Drosophila melanogaster: one gene and its partner. The gene in region 2 interacts genetically with the main gene of each other region. Each region holds a gene or a part of one and is shown on either strand. Other genes may lie near its edges.

What was found. A genetic interaction does not mean that the proteins touch.
Region 1: of ZnT41F (region 2) and ry, changing one suppresses a phenotype caused by changing the other (phenotypic suppression), as found in Drosophila melanogaster (one study listed by BioGRID).

The regions. Positions count from the first base shown.
Region 1 is NT_033777.3:13,030,764-13,039,046, reverse strand, and holds ry (rosy), read right to left. Parts: upstream 6,520-8,283; 5' UTR 6,282-6,519; coding exon 6,240-6,281; intron 5,430-6,239; coding exon 2,829-5,429; intron 2,548-2,828; coding exon 1,234-2,547; intron 1,169-1,233; coding exon 1,118-1,168; 3' UTR 1,027-1,117; downstream 1-1,026. Other genes in the region: CG11668 (uncharacterized protein), read right to left, coding at 48-220, 270-520, 573-634; l(3)87Df (lethal (3) 87Df), read right to left, coding at 7,598-7,712, 7,778-7,965, 8,036-8,065.
Region 2 is NT_033778.4:5,779,706-5,785,308, reverse strand, and holds the start of ZnT41F (zinc transporter 41F), read left to right. Parts: upstream 1-2,450; 5' UTR 2,451-2,532; exon of another isoform or gene 2,533-3,010; intron 3,011-5,603.

The DNA.
Region 1 (8,283 bases), on a different chromosome or scaffold from region 2:
TCATAAGGTTAGATTTTGGACTGTTTTCCTAATTGCTTAAAACTCACCATATACGGATGCTCGTTCTCCTGGGTGAGTCTGCCGCCCACCAGTAAATTCTGGCTCTGATTGTGCTTTTGTATAATTGGCTCAACTAGTTCCACTTGATCCAGTTTAGGGTTCGTATTCCGACGGCGTCGACGGCGCTTGTGATGAGCTCTTGGATAGGCATTGGCACAGGCTGGCAAAAGATATAAGTTCTGGATTCTCTGAATTCCTTTCATACGCACCTTGTTCGCTCTTCGAGATGCTGGGCGGCGGCAACAAGTATCCGCCGTGTGGACAGCAAACCAACTGATTGGGCCACGATGACGGACAGAGTAGTGGTGTCACCCGGGGCACTGCCTGCATGGCACTAATGCAATCCACGTACCGCACACACTTACCAATCAGCGGACGATCGTGGGCTTGGCAATTTCCGTATATGTCAATCGATAGATACGATGGAGCCACTGCGTTCCAAGGCGCATTCTGTGCATATCTATTGTAATAATGGTTGTAGTGATAGCAACAATTGTTCTGCCGATACGAACGCTAACGTCGAAATTAAGACGAACTCTAAAATCAATCTGTATCCAAATGATAGCTTTCCCATCTCGGATGTCCGAGCTCTACGACGTCAGATTGCCGACTGAGATGCTCGCGAAGATCTCGTCTCATAACCTGAGTTCCATACAAAGCTTCTTTTGATTGAGCTTATATTTTCGGTTAGCAGTCGCGCCGAAATCGGAACTCATATTTCAATTCATCGGAAAACTTGCTCAACTTTCATTAATATACTCAAAATAAATAGTGACTAAGACTTTTCAATTGAAAATCAGAATGCATTGCATGCCACGAGATTCTATTGAATAATAGATAGAACAAAAAAGTAACCATTGAATTTTTCTTAATCTAAAAGGAATATTTAATATTAATCAGTGGTATATAAATTTGTTCAAACAGCTCTCCAGCTTAGTTTACACATTAAACGACTCAATTATTTTTAAAACATTTAATTCACTATGTATATATAAACAAATTAACAAATAAAATCGTCATTTTAAATGCTTAAGCAGTACAAACAATAAAAACAATTTTAAGGCACAATGTTCCATGGCGTAAATGATCCTGGTTCGGGTATTTCAAGCTATAATTAATAAATTAATAATAAAAGTTAGTTTAATGTTATAAACTAATCCAAGGGTAACTTACCAGTTCCGTGAACTTATCCTGACAAGCAATTCGAATGCGTGCCGATGTGGAAGGCGCCTCCAGTGGGAAGTCACCACTCAAGCCCTGATCCTCGCGAGCAGCTGCAATGGCCTCCTTAATGGCAAAGAATGCAGATGATCCAATGAAGAGCGGAGGTTCACCCACTGCCTTGGAAGAGTAGACTGCCCGTGGATTGGGGGCACCGGTCAGTAGGCTGACATTGAACTCCCCGGGAATGTCGGCAAATCCTGGCAGCTTATACATGCCCGGACCTCTGGAGTAAAGCATGCCTTGTGGTGAGTACATGAGTTCCTCCAAAGTGAACAGTCCATAGCCCTGCATGAATGCTCCCTCGATCTGACCAATGTCAATAGCCGGATTCAGGCTGGAACCGATGTCCATTACGATGTCTGTGCTGAGCACCTGATGGTCGCCAGTCAGGCAATCGATCTCTACCACAGTGACTCCCACGCCATTCGTGTAGTAGCTATAGGTGCGGGCATTGGGATTCGTTTCCGGGTGATATCCAATCCCGGGCATGGCATAGAATCCTGTGGCCGAGAGGCTGACCCGATCGAAATACGCCTTGTTGATCCACTCCTTCCAGGTGCCTCCAGGCAATGCCTCCTTGATGGGCGCCAGTCTTTTGTTCAACTTTTCACACGCATCCAGTACGGCCATTCCGTTCAAATCGGATCCCACACTCGCCGCCGTGGGTGAAGTGTTGGGTACTTTATCCGTGGCCGTTTCCGAAATGTGAATCAGTTCCGAAGGAATCCCCAGAGCCCTGGCGGCGCACTGAATCATCTTGGTATTCAGACCTTGTCCGATCTCAACTCCTCCGTGCGAAAGCAACACGGATCCATCACCATAGATGTTGATCAGCGATCCCGCTTGGTTCAAGTGCATCACTCCAAATGCGATTCCATACTTGGTAGGCACCACCGCCATGCCGCGTTTCCGCCAGCGATTCTCCCGATTGAATCGAGCAATCTCCTGCCGCTTCTCGTCGTATCTCGACTGCTTCAAGCAATCCTCCAGACACCGCTCGATGGGGAAGTGCTCCAGCTGCTGGTGGTAGTGTGTGTAGTCTCCAGTCTTGTAGAAGTTCAGCCGCATCACATCCACCACATCGCGACCCACTATCCGGGCCACATCCCGGATGATATGCTCACCGGCGTACATGCCTTGTGGTCCTCCAAATCCACGGAAGGCCGTATTCGAGGGCAGGTTCGTCTTGCAGACCCATCCACCCACGCGAACGTTGGGAATCCTGTAGCAATTCTCAAAGTGGAACATGGCGCGCTCAAGAACCTAAACATAGGATTTATATATTAGATCATTTTTAAGAATTTTTAGATTATTATTTATAATTGTTTATGTCAATATAATCCTGGTGCTTGCTTTCCTGATTAGACCTAAACATTCTTAAAAGTTTCAAACTATTTGCACTCAGGATGATAACATATAGGGGTCCTAGAAATTCCCACACTAACCAGATGTTCAATGGAAAATACAACACATGGATATTTGAGCAAACATGGTATGCATAAAGAAACCTACATATGGATTTTCCATAAACCCACCACTCTTACCGAAAATGACAGATCCATGGACCAACCGGCATTGTTGTAGCACTCAATGTCGCAGGCAGTGATCAGACCCTCCTTGGTGAAGCCCACTTTGTATTTGAAGAGGAAGGGATGCCTGGTGCCGGTGATAAGCATGTCCTCATCGCGATCCAACATACAGCGCACAGGACGACCCATTCGATAGGCGGCCAGGGCAACGGGTAGGGCCACGGAGATGCCTCTGGACTCCTTGCCGCCGAAACCGCCTCCCAAACGCTTGGCACGACAGACGACACGGTGGGCAGGAAGTGCGGTTACATGGGCCACTAGCTTCTGCACCTCCGAGGGATGCTGCGTGGAGCAAAAGAGTTCCAGCTCATCGCTGTCACGAGGTACCGCCAATGCAGCATGGGTCTCCAGATAGAAGTGCTCCTGTCCGCCCATTCGACAGGTGCCCTCGAAAGTGTGATCCGCCTGGGCTAAAGCCTCCTCCACATTGCCCTTGGTCACGAATCGAGGGTAGTCCGGGAAATAGGACTTGTGCTCGATGGCCTGCTCTATGGTCACGATAACCGGGCTCAGCTCCTCGTACTCCACTTTCACTAGCCGAGCGGCTCTTTGGGCCAACGCCTTATTATCGGCAGCTATGGCGCCCACTATCTGACCATAGCAATGCACTTCTCCAGCAGCAAAGACGTGCTCATCATGAAAGACGGGTCCCACTTCGTTCTCGTGCTCCGTTAAGTCCTTGTAGCAAAAGAACTGATGCACTCCGTCCAGGGCCAGAGCTTCACTGGCATCCAGCTTGGTGATCTTGGCACGTGGCTTGGTACTAAGGACAAAGGCCAGATAAACTTCACCATCCATGCGGGGAATGTCATCTGTGTAGATAGCTTCACCAGTGGCCTGTTTCAAAGCAGCCGCATGAACTTTTGGTCTCCCAATGGGATCACAGATGGGTTGATCGCTGCAGACGCGCTCGAAGAGCTGGGCACTTTTGAGTACTGGTGTGTGGAATGTCTCGGCACCACTTCGCTCCTCCGATGGCAGAGCATCGGAAGATGTGATCCCTGACTTGCTCAGCTTCAGGGAAATGGCCAGATAGGCCTTGAAGAACAGGCTCACCACCAGAGCTCGACGATAGGCGATCATGCCACCCGGAGCGGAGGCAGCCAAAGGCAGCTCCGTGCACAAGCTCTCCGCCACGCGCTCCACGAGCTGGTGGCTCCACTCCTGCCCAACCATCAGTTGGGAAGTTCGAGGAGCGAGCACTGTGGTTGGTGCCATTCCACCAAAAGCCATCGAGATCTCCGCCACAATGTTGGATTTTTCCTCAAAGCGAACGTTTATTGCGGCATTTACGATGGCTATGTCATCATCCCTTCTCCTGGCCTGCTTAAAAGCAACGATATACTGGTCCGGAGTGGTCTTCCGAAAGTGGATGCCCAGCAGCACCTCGTGGGCTTCGATAACATTCCTGCGATAGCCAGTGAAGAACCCAGTTCCCATGTGAACTGATCTCTTTTGGAGCTTTCCATCCACAAAACTGGCCACCTCCAGTTGAGCTCCTGCTGCCGAGAGCACAGGATTCATATCGGAAATGGGACTACCGGTCATGATGTTTCCACCCAAACAGGCGACGTTGCGGATCTGCTTGCCGGCAAAGTAGTGAAGCATATCCACGGTGCACTGGAACAATCTGGTCTCCGATTCCGGCAGCTGCTCGATTCTCTGCCGCAGAAGCGCATCGATCTCCATCAAACTGACAGCCGCACCGAAGTAAATGCCATCCTGGTTCTCTTTGATCTCCAGCAGCTCCTTCACCTGGGTGGGATTAATGAGGTGCGGGTAGAGGAAGTGCTTGAACTTAACCTCAACGCCCACTTCCGTATTGCCCACGACCAGCTTGGCAGCCGGATGTTTGGCCTTCAGCTGAAGCAGCTCCTCCAGATTGGTGGGACGATACCAGGTCACCCTATCCGAACTAAAGATCAAACTCTGAGAATCGAAGGCGTCACTCAGCTGAAGTTCCGGTGGGAAGATGGGTTCCTGGCTGGGATCCAAGGGCTGGAATTCGCTGCGCTCGAAGAGCTTGTCATCGGTCTCCGCATCGGTTCCGCATCCTTTCCCACTAACTTTGCAGCACTTCTCGCCCATTCCGCAGGCAAACTCCTTGGTGAACGTCTTGTAGCCCTCGAGAATGGGTCGATAGCCGGTGCAGCGGCACAGGTTACCTTGGAATGCCACCTCCAAGTCTCGCATAGAGGGTTGCTCCGCGTTCCGCAGAAGTGCGTACATGGACATCACAATGCCCGGCGTGCAGAAGCCGCACTGGGATCCGTGCGCCTTGGCCAGTCGCTCCTGCACCGGATGCAGACGCGTTTTGGTGCTCCCTATACCCTCCACAGTGGTCACCGCACATCCGTGCATCGAGCACACTGGCGTCAGGCAGGCGTTGACCGCCAGGTGACGTATCTTGTTGGCCCGACGGTCTAGGCGGGACACCATCACGGTGCAGGCGCCGCATCCGCCTTCCGCACATCCCAACTTCGTTCCGCACAGCCGCAGCTTTTCGCGCAGGAATGTGAGGAGCGTGCACTCCGGATCAGGCGACACTTCGGTCACCTGGAATAAGAAATGTATAAATATAATAAAATGAAAAAAACGAAATCAATTTCCCAAAAGTATCTAATGCCATTTATCCATTAATGGGAAAATTTGTATCTTGTATCTTGTAGCTTTAAGATCTGTACCTACTTAATTATAATTGCTATAATTATAAGTTTATATGGTTTAAAGCAATTGTTTGTCAAAACTGTGACTTTGTTTAAACTTAAAACAGCGAAAGTGTTATCTGCTCTGCCAGCCCTGAGCAAACAGAGATTGCTATCTATCACTATCAAATGCCGGGCGCACGAGCAACTGGTTATTTATTATTATTTACTTCACTTGTGCGCAAGCTGTGAGCACAAAGTAAAGAACTCCAACTGCACTCCACCAACACCAGATGCTAAATATGGCCAGCTTTATCTGAATAATCCAGCCGAGCTCACTGGATTGTAAACACCGCACAGCCGGTGGGAATGTGCGGATTAGAGGGCCTGGCTATCTGGCAGACACAAATGCCCATGACGATCCCAGCTCACCCACATCCGAGTAGCACTGCTCCCATGCGCGATTGGCAAGTGCACCATCTTGATCGGGCGATAAGGGGCCACCAGCAAACAACGAGGCTTCACATGGGGGTCAATTGTTATCACTATATGCACAGCAAATACTATATACATTCGACACATTCAATTGAGCAAGAAGGCAAATTCCATCGAATGCCAGTTAAACGCAATTAGGGCAATAAAACAATAAAGGGAATCGATATAGTAGGAGTGGGCCGACTTTAAGGAAAGACACGCAAGGCATCCGAGTATCTTTAAGTACCTTCTTTCCATTCACGAAAAACACCAAAACCGAGTTAGACATCGTGAAGTGCTATGTATCTGTAGCTCACGGTATCTCGCTGTATCTCAGTACCAATGCCTATATAAGTGTTAGCCTGCAATTACGAAGCTCGTTTACATATATGGAGGGGAGGAGGTGCGTTCCTTGAATGTAAAGCGAAAACAAGTTTTTTATTTCAAAATTAGAGAACCGACAACCTCATGTGCCCGCCGATTAAAAAACAACACAACCGTCTCGCGCCGTCAACGAAAACGTAATGAATGTGCCAACAGCCAGCCGAGCAATCCATCCAAACGCCGACTTTTATTTTTGTGAGATAAGACGAGCGACCGACGAGTGCAGGATCGCCTACATGTGCGTGGAAATGGCCATGTCTAGGGGTTACGAGGCAGCAGTTCTACTACCTGCTATCTCGGATTAGAGCAGATACCCATCCGAGATCGGTGTGGTCAGCTAGGAAAGCAATCTGTCAGATAAAATCGTACTGATCACTATTCAGCATGAGAACTGCAGCTTTTCTATCTCAAGAATTAAGACCATTTTGAAGATTGTCCTTCAGTCTCAAGAAACACCAAAACCTCGGTATAGTGAAGTTATTTATCTGTATCTTAAAGTTTTCTAGTACCACGATACGCTTTTTTTTTAAACAAAATGTTCACAAGGTGTTCAAACTAGGCAAATATATAAATCTATTTCCTAGCTATATATCTTCCAGATTTATAAATAGTATCGAATTAGGGGTATTTCAGAGAAACGTACATGAAATGCAATTATTTTTCAGAATATTAATTGAAACTTACTTTTAGATACTTTTTTAACCTTTCATTTCATTTTTGTGATATGGCTCCCACTCAAGTAAAAAGTATACTATCTAAAGTTGTAAAAATGGTGCATTAAATAACCCTTTTACGTACCAGAACGTATTGAATATACAACTTTTAGACTGTAAATTTTGCTTTTATGTAAATGGTAAAAAAAAACTATTAAAAAGTTAAAAGGTCGTCAAAATGGGTTCAAGGTTCTTCAAAAGTAAACAACTAGCTCTATCAGCTTAAATCAAATCGAAAGCACAATAAAGCCCAACAGGTTTTAGGAACCACAATCATTAAAATGATGGATTGATTTCTGTCAATCCCAAATCAAAGATGGTGGCATAATTAATTCCCTACGAGTGGCAAGCTAAGATTTCACTTACAACATATATATAATATATTGGCTACTATAAAGTTTGGTAACAAAAGGTAGTTTACAACACAAGGGATTTAACAATGCCAGGATTACTTGGTATCCTAGAGTGAAAACAAACATCGAAGTAGTAATGAAGGATCTGACTTATGCTACGCCGACTTCAGATCTAAGTCTCTCTCCCTTTGGGTGCCCTCATAAAGGGCTTGTCGTCTCATCGCCTCACGCAATTGCTGCTGCTCGAATCTCCTGACGGACCATTGATACCTGCGGATGCCACATTGATAATTAAGTGATAAGGGCGCCGCACGGTTTTAATCACAGTCACTTACCTGCAGGTCATCCAGTAGGCGATGGTGCCGCAGAAGAAGGAGCCGAAGCCCACGTGGGTGGACAGGTGGGTTCGCGAGGTGCCCAGAAAAGTCAGCAAGCCGATGCCGATTCCTCCGCTGATTCCGTAGAGAAAACTGTTACGAAAGCACGGGATCTGCGCCACATCGCGTCCGAAGATAACGAAGCTCTATGGGAGATTAAACATAGTTAAAGCTTAATCAGGCACCTGATGTCCAATAGATTTATGTAATCCATACCTTGGCGGGTTCCTCGGGTTCTTCGGCCATGCTGCAATTGCAATTTTAAAAGTCAAGTTGCAAAGCAAAACAAAACAAAAGTGTGACCCTGACGTTACTAAATAATAATACCACGGACATGTTAGGGGCATTCCAAAAACTGATATAAAATTAGTTATTCCACTCCTATGCACTAAGAAATTTGGACTTATAATTAAAAATAAGTGTAGCCTATATTTATAGCTAAATTATGTTGATTTTCTTGCATA
Region 2 (5,603 bases):
CACGCAGGTATAGGATTAGGTATGACAGAATTTAGCAAGCATCTTTATATTTTTTAAATTTATTTTTAGATGTTTACTTCAACAGATGAATTCTCCTAGTGTATTCATATCTCCTTTATATCTCGTCCACGTGCGTAACTTTTTTTTATTAATATACATGTTATGTATCTTTCCAGCATGTGTTAAAGTTAAATAAAAATCGTAGGTTTTGTTTATGTCTGTTAATCGATGGAAAGAGGTGCTCCACGGGAGCTCAACGGGGTGCTCCCCGGGACAGCACGAAAGGGTGCTCCACGAGCCGGCTGATCACTGACTGATCACTTTTCACTTTTTTTGCGTGGCGTTGTTGTTGCTCCAAGCAAAAGATTTTCCAGATTAAGTTTCCGCCTGGGAAAAAACACACAAAAAAAATGTAGACCGCATACCGTTTTGCGGCGAGGAAAGCTCGCTAGATTATTATATCATTAACGCGCGCAGGCTATAATTTTCTAAAAAACAGTTGAATGAAAAAAATGTTCACGAATTGACTTTACGACGGTTCGATTAGAAAAGAAATAGAACGGAAACTCAAGCCTGGGTCTAGGCCATCAGAAGAAATCATGATCATCTGGAAATCACTCCATTTGTGATAACCAAGCTATCCAAAACTTTCCTAGTTCAGCTGATAAAGATTTGCATCTCGTCCAGTATATTTCCTATGACTAATACTGCATTTAATATGACCCTTGATTACACGCCCAAAGCTTGGCTCAAGCTTTCAGGGTGTTCTAACATAATAGCTTCAGGGGTCGCTACAAACTCCACCTATTAACTTTAATTAACCCTAATTAACAACTCTAATTCCTCTTCCAATTTGCACACCAATGTTTTCTCTAAGCATAGCTATTCTGTTTGAAATAACTTAGCTAAATGATCGTCGAAAGTGCATTTGCTTAATACATATACATACATTCATACACATACATTCTTTGTCAAATCAAAACACAACCAAAGAAAATTCGATTATTCATCCGTTCTTTATGACAAGCACCACTGCATACAACTGTTTTATAACAATCTCCTTTAATTGGTCCCGTTGTAATAAGAAATACCACATTCCGGGAAGCAGATTTTGCTTAAGTGCTTTTGCATCTTGATAAAAAGGATGGGGCGGGGATGAGAAAAAAGAAAGTAAGAAAACGAAATGGATTATCGGATTTCCTGCGATTTTTATTATAGGTAATATAATAATTTCATGAGCAGAAAGAAATCTTTAAAGGTATAATAATATATTTTACTTTAAGTTTAATCGTAAACTGAAAAGAACCTGACAACAAGACGATGGAAATTTCTCTCTTCAAAAATAAGTACGGATATAGTGATTAAAACACATTGAAAAAGTGATGAATTGAGCGGTGTTTAAGCGCCATTGATATCAACTAAATTGTAGAGTCGAATATGAATATGAATATATGATCCAGAAAATCCGTTTGAAAAATTTATATCTTACTTCCACTTTCTTGTTTTTAAGGATAAACGCCTTTCATATTACTATGTACATATTTTAATTTTAACAGTATTTGATAATACTGCTTTACTGTGGATGAACTTGATAAGGATCGAACCGCTGATAAGTCTAGTCTCAACTGTGTCGATTTATAGTTCCCCGATATCGAAACTCGTCATAAAGTGTAAATGTATTTTTTATAGCGCCAGAAACGTTATCTTGAACCTTATTTTTAAAGATTACCTTTTAGTCTTCGAGTTGTGTTTATAATCACGTTCGCGAGCACAAAAGTGTAGATAACGTCGACTTAATTTTCCGGTTACACTAAAGAAACCAATTGAAATGATCTGATATGTACCTTACATATACATAATCAGTGTCTAGCGTCTTCGGATCGGACGTTAAGGACGTTAAGAACTTCCTTTTTGCTTTTGGCTTTCAGATGCCTAATGATTTTTTTTTTTAAATTAAGAAATAGAATATAAACGAAAAGAGAATGCTATAGTCGAGTTCCCCGACTATCTCAGCTAGTGTGAATGCGAACCCGAAATTGCACGATTTATTTTTTTTATTGGGATATCGATAGATGTTGGGGAATAAAATGAGAAAAAACTTAAAATTTGACCGGTTCGGCAGCTTCAGGACGTTAGAGTGGGCGTATCAAAAATTTTTTTGGAAAATGGATACATGGGTCAACCTTCTATCATTTATAGTGCCAGAGATCTCGACGATCCTACTTATGGCACATTCTTTTCTGACTCCACTTAGCTGAGTGATGGGTATATGATATTTCTGATTGTAGAGGAACTAGACTCTTCTCTCTTATTTTGATAAGCGAACAACAGACGCAATTCCCAAGTCCTTTGAGAACCACTCAAGCGTCGCCACTCAAGAGAAAAATGCCCCCACTATCACTGTCTCGCTCTACCCAGAAACCAACTGAGAAGGCGACGCCGTCACCGCTGTTAGTTGAACTTCACGCGTCGCCGGGTGTGCCGGGAAGTAAGCAGTCGCTGACGATCGGAAATCTAAAACAATTACAGCGAGTAGGGCCGTGTACGATAAAAAGAGAACACCAGCTGATAGTGCACGACAGCGGAACATTATTGTAGTCTCTCAACTGAGTATTTCGTACATTCACATATTTTGTTTACATAGTCCATGCAATGCGCATATGGCTGGGAACTGGAAGATTTACAAAATACGATTGGATACGAACAAGTCATAATAATGATTTAAATTTTAATGTTCTGAAGAGTTTAAAATGAATATGTTTTTAATATCAGAATTTTACGCAATTAAGCCTAAATGAGACTAACGCCAATGGTTCAGTGTGATACGTGAGAGTGAATACAACGAATGGGCGCTCCGTTGTGATCTCTCTTTCCAACGGAACGTACATATGTACATTCATATGTATGTGCATAGTTATGTGCAGCATCAGCAGCTGAGTAGAAACATATGAGAGAAAGAGAGCCGCGGTCGAAATTATTACTCATTGCCAAAGTCAAACCTGCTGATAAGGTCAGTGCACGCTCAGCGCCGGCATTGTTTTCTTTACTTTGCTTTGACTTGCGGTTAAACTCTCTGGTTGGTGGAGGATCTAATTCTTATTGGTAGTTTTCTCGCAAAACGCTACGTCCCATAGCTACATATTTACAAATCAAATAGATTACAAACCACATCAATTTTAATACACGTATGCATGCTATTAGAAATTATATTATGTTATATATACATGTATATATGTATATAATATAATGGGTTAAATATGCCAAAAAAAAAGGTGCTCTAGAACACCTAGCCAAGAAAATGAAATACGAGCCCCAACTACTATTATTGTTTTGTATTGTGTTTCGAACAGCATGTGTTTTTTGCGGTGTGCAATGTTCAACACACGATATGTATACTCATTACTACTACAGATAACGTATGCAAAAGTATTTAGTCTGAAAGAGAATTTTATTCTCTTCATGTTGATAAAAAATGTTATATTTTCAACAACAACAACAGAGATAAGAAAAAAAGGCCACTATTAATTCGAACGCTGCAAAGTATAACAGACTAATTAACATAAGAATTGTGTAACGTCGCGTCCTGGGCTGTATTACACATTAAATACGTTTTGGCATTGATTTAAAAAAATTTTGGCCATGTTCTCGAGAAATCGATACCCACATCTCTTTGAGGTCACAAATGTTCCTCTGTGGTTCATTCGAAGCTTTCTTTTCATTAGCCACCAAATATTGTTTATGGGGCCTAGATCTGGACTATCTAGCCAATCTAAAACCTCCACTTGCTTATATTGTAGTCAATTTTCCTACTGAATCCTTTCCCGAGCCCATTGCAAACTCGTTTTTTTTTTTGCGAAGCGTAAGCAAGGGTTTTTCCGTGGCCTACAAGTAGAGTAAAAGGGTATACTAGATTCTTTGAAAAAGTATATATATTCTTGATATGGATCAATAGCCGAGTCGATCTGACCCTGCCCGTCTGTCCGTCCGTCCGTATGAACGTCGAGATCTTAGGAACTATAGAAGTTAAAGAGTTGAGATTAGGGATACAGTTTTCAGAGAGATAGTTTTTACTATCTACTAGTTACTATTATTATTATTACTATTATTACTATTATTACTACTATTTACTATAGTACTAGTTTTACAATACCAGTATTTCGACACTGTTTTAATTTGATATTCGAAACCATAATAACAGTCGCAAAATGTTTGGATTGTTAACAATTTTAGATTCTTTGCCTTAGCCGTTTGTTGGCTTTACATTTTTTGGGAAGACAAATGGTAGAATATACAAAATGAAAATACAAAATGTGATCGTGTCAGCTTAAGCGATAATGGTAAGGTTTTGAATCAAACTTACATACATAGCGATTTGATTACCCTGTAGCTTTTATAGTTCCCGATATCTCTCGATATTCATCTCTTGCCCTCCAACTAGACAGGAAAAGGGTATCTTATTGTCTATCAAAGATAATAACAAGCTCTTCTGGCGATTTGATTGGCAACAATATGCTTTCGGTCAAAACCTGCCGAGAAAACCCAACGCTGATAACCCAACGGCACACAAGCTAGTAGGACTACTTTTGCTGATAAGCATACATGAATCAAATGAAAAAGGTTTAAATTGCCAGTAGAGTTCCACCAACGTGCGATCCGTTGTTGATAAATGCATATCTACATTACTTAAGTTGTGGAGTGTAATAAATTTAATTGGTTAGTCCTTAAATTCTAACAAGAGAGAATGCTGTATTCGAGTTCCCCGACCATCCGATACCCTTTACTCAGCTAGTGGGATTGCGAATGCGAAATTATTCATAAATGAATAAAATAAAATGAGAATGAAATGAAAAAAATTAAAAATTGACAAGATAAACAATAAAACGAAGAAAAATCGACAAACTTGCGTCTGTATGCTTGATTTCAGCCGTCTAGCTTTTATAGTTTCTGAAATCAAGACGTTCATAGTATGACGTTCATACGGATAGACGGCCATGGCCAGATCCTATTCAAGAATATATATACTTTATGTGGTTGGAAACGCTTCCTTCTGCCTGTTCCATATTTTTCCACGTATCTAGTATACCCTTTTACATTACTAGTAACGGGTATAATAAACAACATTTTGTTTAGCTATCATTATACGTACATTGTATAGAATAATCAATTTACCTTATAAGAGTTCCTTAAGAGTTAACTTAAAATGAAAACGTTTCTAATCTGCAATAAACTACCACTGTATTATTTAAAATTTTTGTAAAATCCACGTTTAGGCAATCCACGTTTAAGCAGGGTTTAACATATGGGACCATATAATCTTCTATGTAATTTCTTGCACGCTTAGCTTGAAGTTTACATAAAGGGGCTTACATAAATAGGATGCTGGAAGTGATCATGAATTCCTCTCCCTGAAAATTATTTTTTAAATGCTGCCCTTGTTACACATTTCCCTAGACATAAGGAAAACAAGAGAGAATGCTATAGTCGAGTTCCCCGACTATCAGATACCCGTTATCATTTTTTTTATTTACGTTATCAATATTAAAATGTTTATAACTAATTTCCAAAAGAGATACCATTGTTGGCCTCGGGAGTTTTGACCGACT